Macaca fascicularis: one gene and its partner. The protein of the gene in region 1 interacts with the protein of each later gene in a biochemical or structural test. Links are inferred from orthologs where the notes say so. Each region holds a gene or a part of one and is shown on either strand. Other genes may lie near its edges.

Region 1 (4,197 bases):
AGTTGCACAGAATGCAGAGGGCAGAATTTGGCCCCAAAACCTTCCACAGAATATTAGAGGTGATTGGTCCTTCCACTCTGAGTAGAACCTAAGAATTCCAAGAGTCTCCTAATAGGATACTGGCCTTCAAGAGAAATGGCCCTGCTGGATCCCATCAGTTAGGACTCTAGTTAACTGCTGTAGAAGGGTGACCTACTACGACCCTTTAGGGGAAGGCAGAGAGCTGGGAGACTGGCTGTCCACTTAGTGAATCCAACACTGGCTTAAAGCTATGCACTGAATAAAGTGCTCGGTACATTCTGCTTCTCACCTGGAATGAAAATACACACTTATCCTAGGAATTAACCTACTTACAGGTTTGGGGGACAAGAATGTCAAGGGCTAAAAGAATCCCAAGAAAAAGTATGAAGCATCGACTAGGAAGGAACAAATGCTTCTAGTAGTGTTCTTAGAATTCTTAGGATCTGAAATGTCAGAATGAGTCATATGCTGGTCATGCTCCATACAATGAAAGCAGTCCTGCTTGATACTATTCACACAGTGCATTACTTCCCGGGGGTGGAAGGGAACAGTCTGTCGCCATTTGATAGTATGGTTCCAGAATGAAAACAAAACCACTGAATAAATCAGGGTAAGCAGTGTGTAATACTCCTTCCTGTCCATCGGTTTTCCACAGGGTGATTTGCATTGCCTGAGAGAAAGGAGGCAAGATACCTATCCCTTCTGATACACACAGGCACGGCCACTACCTCCTACAATTGCCAATTTCAGAAGCTAACACACGAGCCCTCCAGTTCGTACCCTGAATATGGTACAGAAGACTAGGAATGGAGTAGTTCAGTCTAAAAAAAGATCACAGGTAACAGAATGCTTATATAAACTAGACTGCTTTTGACATCTGTAAGAAAACTGTATAGATGGCAGCTGGAAAAAAAAAAAAGATTGTTCCCATCTGTCAGCAAAACTGTTGAGCTATACTCAGCTGAAGTCCTCATCGGGATTCTGTTGATCCAGCAGACGGACATGTGTGAATGGGAAGTGACCTCGTTTGCCATTACACTCCCCTTCCCACTGACCACTCACATTAATCTTCGTAACCTTTACCAGCTCACCGACCTGCAGGAGGAGAATAAGGAGAGCACTTTATTTCCAGTTAGGAATGCAGCTGCACAACTCCGTTCTCTGGTCAGCACACCCTGCCCATGTGATTGCTCTAGGGATGTGACAGAAATGGCCCCTTGCTGCCTCCCCAGCCCCAGCCACCAGACTGATTCCTTGTGGTTAATGCAGGCAGAAGGAAGAAGTGTTTTTAGCAGTGCAGAAAAACAGAGAATACAGAAAGTAAAACAGGATCCCAGATAATGATACTTTTTGATTAAAAAAGGAAAGTGGTAATTATTGGAAATCTCAAGTGTCTCTGAACAAGCAATCCCCACTTCAGTGAGTGAGCTAGTATTCCCTTTCTTTGTACTCACTACCCTCGGCTTTCTACCTGCTCCGCAGACCCTGTCCGAGGAGAAGCAACCTTCTCCCCTCTTTTTTTGTGTTTTTTCTTTTTTTTGAGATGGAGTCTTGCTCTCTTGCCCAGGCTGGAGTGCAATGGCATGATCTCAGCTCAATGCAACCTCTGCCTCCCAGGTTCAAGCAATTCTCCTGCCTCAGCCTCCAGAGTAGCTGGGACTACAGGTGCCCGCCACTATGCCCAGCTAATTTTTGTATTTTTAGTAGAGATGGAGTTTCACCATTTTGGCCAGGCTGGTTTTGAACTCCTGACCTCGTGATCCACCCGCCTTGGCCTCCCAAAGTGCTGGGATTACAGGCGTGAGCCACGGTGCCCGGCCACCTTCTCCCATCTTTAGCGTCCGGCAGCAGCACAGTCCCCCAGCCCACTCGCACACATGTCCTGGTCTATTACCGCTTGCACAGCAGAAACTGATCATGGCAAGCATAGGTCACTTGGTCCTAGAAAATCAAGTGTTCCCATCACCTCCTGACCAAGGCAAGCCTTTTCCCGTATGGGCAGGTAGAGGTCCAAACTCCAAATCCAATTAGCTCTCAGAAAACCCCCACCTCATTAAGCAAGCTCTACTTGACAAGCCACTGCCTGCCCAGCCCCCCAATCCCACCATTCGACAGACCTTGCTGCTCCCTCAATGCTGCTGATTACCTGATCATTACCCAATGAGGGGTCAAAAAAACCAACTATGGTTGGGCACAGTGGCTCATGCCTGCAATCCCAGCACTTGGTGAGCCTGACACAGGTGGATGGATTGCTTCAGCTCAGAGTTTGAGACCAGCCTGAGTAACATGGTGAAACCCATCTCTACAAAAAATACAAACATTAGCTGGGTGTGGTGGTGGCCGCTCACAGTCCCAGCTACTCCGGAGGCTGAGGTGGGAGGATTGCTTGAGCCCAGGAGGCAGAGGTTGCAGTGAGCTGAGATCACACCACTCCATTCCAGCCTGGGCAATAGAGCCAGACCCTGCCTCAAAAAACAAAAACAAAAAACCCCCCTGTATTTCAGCATGTATTTACGAAATGTCTCGTTGCAAAATGAAATATAAAGTTGTTTTTTTGTTTCTTTTTTTTTTTTTTTTTTTTTTTTTTTTGAGACGGAGTCTCGCTCTGTCGCCCAGGTTGGAGTGCAGTGGCCGGATCTCAGCTCACTGCAAGCTCCACCTCCCAGGTTTACGCCATTCTCCTGCCTCAGCCTCCTGAGTAGCTGGGACTACAGGCGCCCGCCACCTCGCCCGGCTAGTTTTTTGTATTTTTAGTAGAGACGGGGTTTCACCGTGTTAGCCAGGATGGTCTCGATCTCCTGACCTCGTGATCCGCCCGTCTCGGCCTCCCAAAGTGCTGGGATTACAGGCTTGAGCCACCGCGCCCGGCCTTTGTTTCTTTTTTGAGACAGAGTCTCGCTCTGTCACCCAGGCTGGAGTGCAGTGGCGGGATCTCAGCTCACTGCAAGCTCCGCCTCCTAGGTTCACGCCATTCTCCTGCCTCAGCCTCCCAAGCAGCTGGGACTACAGGTGCCCGCGACCACACCTGGATGCTATTTTTAAAATATTTTTAGTAAAGATGGGTTTCACCTTGTTAGCCAAGATGGTCTTGATCTCCTGACCTCGTGAGCCGCCCACCTTGGCCTCCCAAAGTACTGGGATTACAGGCGTGAGCCACTGTACCCGGCCGAAATATAAAGTTTTAACAATCTATGATATATTTCTATCCTGCTATGAAACTTCAGAGGTCAGTCTGATGAATGGATTCACCCCATGGCAAAATGCTGAATGGTGAAATACAGCCTCAGATGCCATGCCACTGGACTAAAGAGTTTTATGACCATCCTTTAAGTATCAATATTTGAATTCTGGGCATACTCTGTTCATTTGGTTTTATTTTTTTTTTATTTTTTTTTATTTTTTGAGACGGAGTCTCTCGCTCTGTAGCCCAGGCTGGAGTGCAGTGGCCGGATCTCAGCTCACTGCAAGCTCCGCCTCCCGGGTTCACGCCATTCTCCGGCCTCAGCCTCCCGAGTAGCTGGGACTACAGGCGCCCACCACCTCGCCCGGCTAGTTTTTTTTTTGTATTTCTTAGTAGAAATGGGGTTTCACCGTGTTAGCCAGGATGGTCTCGATCTCCTGACCTCGTGATCCGCCCATCTTGGCCTCCCAAAGTGCTGGGATTACAGGCTTGAGCCACCGCGCCCGGCTCATTTGGTTTTATTAAACCAACTACTATTTACTGAATTATTATATAGCAGAGGGCATTTTATATTTTATAACTTTATATTACATTAAAATATAAGGTATTTTCCAATCCTCATAATCATCCTGCAATACAGGAACTGCTTTCATTTTACAAATCGAAAGACGGCAGTTTAGAGAAATGGCATGATACACATGCCACAGAGGCGGCAGTTAGTGACAGAGCTGGGAATTTGAGCCCAGAGCTATCCGGTTCCAAAGCCCATTTATGCTTTTTATCTTTTATTTTTTGAGACAAGGTCTCACTCTGTCACTTAGGCTGGAGTGCAGTGACACCATCATGGCTCACTGCAGCCTGTAACTCTCGGGCTCAGGGGATCCTCCCACCTTAGCCTCCCGAGTAGCTGGGACTACAGGTGCATACCACCATGCCCAGCTAATTCCAGGCATGAGCCTCCGCACCATGTATGCATTTTATACAGTATCAGGAAC
Region 2 (4,774 bases), on another chromosome or scaffold:
CCATTCACAGTCTCAAAAGCAGAACATAGATATTAACAGACAAGCCAAGTTTGCTGCAACCCCTTCTCTGGCCTTGTTTGTGAACCTCAAAAACGTGGTTTGTAAAATAGGAGAAGATGCGGAAGTCCTCATGTCTCTGTATGATCCTGTGGAGTCCAAGTTCATCAGGTAGGTGAAATTTCTTGGCGGCTGTCTTTCCTCTTTGGTTGGTGTTAGGAACGTGGGATCAGAACCACTGACGCGCGCCATTCATGCCGAGAGGCCCCGGATGAATGGCTGCTGGACACGACCAAGCAGCCGAGCCAAGCGCTGTCTTGGACAGTGTGATGGCAGCCAGTTTGGGCTCTGGGTCAGGGTGAACCTTCTCGCGTGTAGATTGCTATTTGTTTGTAGAGTTATAGCAGTTGCAGGTACACTCTGGTCATATCTTAAGAGTGCAGCTGAAGATTGAAGTAATACTTTGTTTCCTAAGTTGTCTTCATAAGATTTTATGTACCCTGGTCCCTCAAATATCACTATTTCCATTTTTCAAAATTTGGTTTCTTTGAATGCCACTTCTGTGACTTTCATCCTGTTGTTTTTTCTGCAAGATGATTGACTGGAATGCATCATTTAGAATGGTGCCTGCCACATACAGACTGTCAATTAATATTTGTTAAATGAAAACACTGTAAGTCTGTTATTCCTGCTTAGCCTTCAGTATAACTTTCTCTTTGCCCAGATGGAAACACTGTGGTTCAATTATGTATGAATTGTGTGTGTGTGTCTGTGTATATGCTAAAACTCTAGGATCTTCACTTGTATTATTCAAAATTTGAAAACTTAGTGTATGAATGATACAGAAAAATATGAGTGGATTTTATTCTCACTTCTGGTAAAGACTTTGTTTCCTCTTGACATGGGATGCAGTTTTTATTTTACAGTGTATTTGGTTTGTCATAGGTTTTGAAATAAACATGCATTGTGCTGAATTTTATAGTATTGTCATTCTAAATGAACAAATAGGCTCTTAAAAAAAAACCAACTTAGAAATACCATTTGCAAGTAATTCCATTACAGTGACAACCCAAGACATCCCACATTAAAACTTGGCAGGGATTTTCTGCTGTGGATGTTAATTGATGAGTAGCTGTATGTGATATTTTTGATATTTATAAACTCATAGTTGTCTGTATAGTGCACCTACGTGGTATTAATTATGAAGCAATGTGGATGTACATTTGGTACTCTGTTATTTGGAAAATTAACTTGCTTTTATTTCTCCCTTTTTCAAGTGAAAACTACCTGGTTCGCTGGTCCAGTTCAGGATTACCTAAAGACATAGACAGATTACATAATTTGCGAGCTGTGTTTACTGTAAGTGCACGCAGAGATGTTTGGTTGAATTGGCCACCATTCTAATGACTACTTTTAGTGATTTCTCTCGGCCTTCCTGCCACACTAGAACATGGGTCCCTGGGATGCCTGTAGTATCGGTTAATTTAGTATTACTAAGTAGAGTGCCTTTCCGGAAATCTTTTGAGTCTCTAGCCACCCTTAGAATGACCGTGACAAAGATTTACCCCATTACCATGGAATGTGCCTCTTAAATGTGTATCTTTTTGTTTTTTTTTTTTTTTTCCTCCAGACGGAGTCTTGCTTTGTCACCCAGGCTGGAGTGCAATGGTGTGATCTCAGCTCACTGCAACCTACACCTCCTGGGTTCAAGCAATTCTCCTGCCTCAGCCTCCCGAGTAGCTGGGATTATAGGCACACACCACCACACCTGGCTAATTTTTTGTATTTTTAGTAGAGATGGGGTTTCCCCATGTTGGCCAGGCTGATCTCGAACTCCTGACCTCGTGATCCACCCTCCTTGGCCTCCCAAAGTGCTGGGATTACAGGTGTGAGCCACTGCACCCAGCCCTTAAATGTGTATCTTAAGCTCACTTAACAGTAATTGATTATTGTTATTAAATTCCTTTCTGTCATATGAATAACTGATTAAAATTATAAAAATGAGTCTGAGAAAAGAGTCTCAATCCATTTTTTTTACTGTCCTTTTCATTGGAACTTGCATTGAATAATGGTTCTCCAAAATAATTTATGGAAACTAATATTTCCAGGACCTCGGAAGCAAAGACCTGAAAAGAGAGAAAATCAGTTTTGTCTGTCAGATTGTTCGCGTGGGTCGCATGGAGCTGAGGGACAACAATACCAGGAAACTGACTTCGGGGTTGCGGCGACCTTTTGGAGTGGCTGGTAATCCATTTCTCTGTGTTTCCTTGAGAGTTTCAGATCTTCACAGTCACTTTCAAAAGAACCACTGCTGAATGTTGATTGGTCAATGGGCAGCTTTGATTTATAAGCTTTTCTGCTAGAGAGAAAAAATATATTTATTAGTTATTTTCATTGTGGCTTCCAGTTGACCTGCTAGGCTCAGGATGTTCTAGGCCTCAAGTTTCAGATGTAAATCATATATTTGGTTTTAAAGTGGATCTCATCTTTCCCTGGGAGAGATCCTGACCCATATTCTCAGTCTGTAGGAAAGCCAGTCAGTGGAGGGTTTCAGGTCTTGGTGATGGACATCAGAATGGATTTGTGCAGGACAGTCAAAGCAACGAAGGGGAGGAAAGAAAGCAAACCGTGAAGAGGACGCAGTTAGCTTCATATTGGTGCGCTTCCTCCGCCACGTGGGTGCGCTTCCTCCGCCACGTGGGTGCGCTTCCTCCGCCACGTGGGTGCTCTTCCTCCGCCATGTTGGTGCTCTGTTATTTTTGGTGACAGCACGAGGAATGTGAAAGACCAGTTATCTCTGTTGAGGAAAGATAAAGGCATACCAGGAAGTTCTAATTATTTGCCCTATTTCAATGTCACTCTCATTTTTCATAGTTTTGGGAAGTGGTTTTCTCTCTTTAATGGTTGCTACAATTTCATTACTTAGCACTCTGATATTTATTTTATGTTTGTGATTTTTGGGATTCATGTGAATATTCATGTGGGAAAGGTTCCTGATTCTTGACACACAGCTGGATTTTTTGTATGAACAGCCGTGGAAGACGTTCTTTGCCTTGGCTACCAGGAAACTCTGAACTTAGTCCATTCCCCCCCTGCCTTTTGAATAAACATTATTTTTAGAAAGGTTTTAGGTTCAAGCAAAATTGAACAGAAAATATAGACAGTTCCTATATATTTCTCCTTCCTTCCCCCTGCGTCCCCATTATCAATATCCCCCATAGATTGGTACATTGTTTGCAGTTGGTGAACCACATTGACACATCGTCGTCCTGTGAAGTCCATAGTTTACATTAGTGTTCATTCTTGATGTTGTGCCTTGTGTGGGTTTCGACAGTTGAATAATACTGTATATTCCCCATGGTAGTGCCACTGGGTAGCTTCACCATCCTAAAATTCCTATGTGCTCTGCCTGGAATTTTTGGAAAAATATTTCAAGTCATTTAAATGATTTACTATATCATAAGAAGTAAGCCATAGCAGTGATATAGACATAATGAGAGCAGCATATTAATTCAGTTTACTTGAATTCAGTTTACCCATAGAGCTAACTAACGGAGTGTTCCAATGATCTTACCATTTGTGAGTGAAATGGTGAGGGTGAGGTTTTCTTTCTGAAGTCCCCACAACCTTGGGCTGGGGAAATCCTTTTGCATTTTCATCTCTCTGTCTTTTTGTTTTTAAGAGACAGAGTCTAACTCTGTCACCCAGGCTGTGTGATCACAGCTCACTGCTGCCCTGACCTCCTGGGCTCAAGTGATCCTCCTGCCTCAGCTTCCTGAGTAACTGGGACCACAGGCGCGCCCCCTCATGCCCTGCTAACATTTTCATCTCATGACTTGAATACATACTTGAAAATTGCCGCTCTATTTGTCAGAGCCTGTAGCATCTTTTACATGTAATCTAGTGTTATATTTAATTACCTTTCATTTTCCAGGATTTTTTTTTTCTTTTCCATCTTGATGGTAGTTTTAAGAAAATATTTAATTTTTGTCTCAGACATAATTGGCTCCATTTGAGCAATCAGAGACATTTTTGATAACACACGGAAGTCACTCCTCTTTTCAACAGCAGACCTACAGATTCTCTGGTTATTAGATTACAAGATGGATTATGTCATAAGTGCCTACGAATGCGTAGTTGTATTTCTTAAAGGTGAAATCTAGACCACAGGCTGACAGTTTTTACCTTCTTTTGATTAAAATTTTTGGAATTTAAAAATTTGGAATATTTTTCAGTTTTCATTGGATTGACAGTCCATGAAGGTCTAGGTACTAATGGATGGAGAGGCTGATGGGCATGGGCTCAGCTGACACCACTGTGGCCTTTCACTGTTTCTTACATGCTCACTTACGCTTGCTTGGTGGGGTCTAGAGTTAGGTTGGGCCCCCCAGCTCCTGGAGTTCTCCATGAATTATGGAAGCCCAGGTTATTCACTGGGGTAAAGCGGGCACCTGGGACATAGTTCCTTGTTTCTGGAGCCCCCACCTGTGTAGTGTTGGCTGAGACACTACATCTGGTCACTGGAGTTTGGATCCCTGGCTGTGCGGCCACCAGGGACTTCTGTGCCCTGATATCTGCTGACCACACGGACACCCCCTGTGGTCCCTGGTTCCTCCTGTCAGAACTGGTCTCTGGTTCCTTCCTTTCCTGTCTTGTGTCCCTGGCACCCACTGATATTGGGGCTTCTGAAAGCCCACCTGGGGCCAAGTTCTAGCCTTGTCGTTTTGCTCGTGAATTCTCTGGAGTGTGGCTTCTTCTTGCTGCTCTGCTCTGACTG

The links.
Region 2: the proteins of CRK (region 1) and DOCK1 form a complex in vitro, tested with the Homo sapiens proteins (3 studies listed by BioGRID and IntAct, with this or other methods). The link is inferred for Macaca fascicularis from reciprocal best matches to the Homo sapiens genes CRK and DOCK1.

The regions. Positions count from the first base shown.
Region 1 is NC_088390.1:1,530,905-1,535,101, forward strand, and holds part of CRK (adapter molecule crk), read right to left. Parts: intron 1,117-4,197; coding exon 979-1,116; 3' UTR 1-978. UniProt on the Homo sapiens protein: Involved in cell branching and adhesion mediated by BCAR1-CRK-RAPGEF1 signaling and activation of RAP1.
Region 2 is NC_088383.1:135,960,014-135,964,787, forward strand, and holds part of DOCK1 (dedicator of cytokinesis protein 1), read left to right. Parts: intron 1-10; coding exon 11-168; intron 169-1,274; coding exon 1,275-1,356; intron 1,357-2,105; coding exon 2,106-2,241; intron 2,242-4,774. UniProt on the Homo sapiens protein: Involved in cytoskeletal rearrangements required for phagocytosis of apoptotic cells and cell motility. Along with DOCK1, mediates CRK/CRKL regulation of epithelial and endothelial cell spreading and migration on type IV collagen.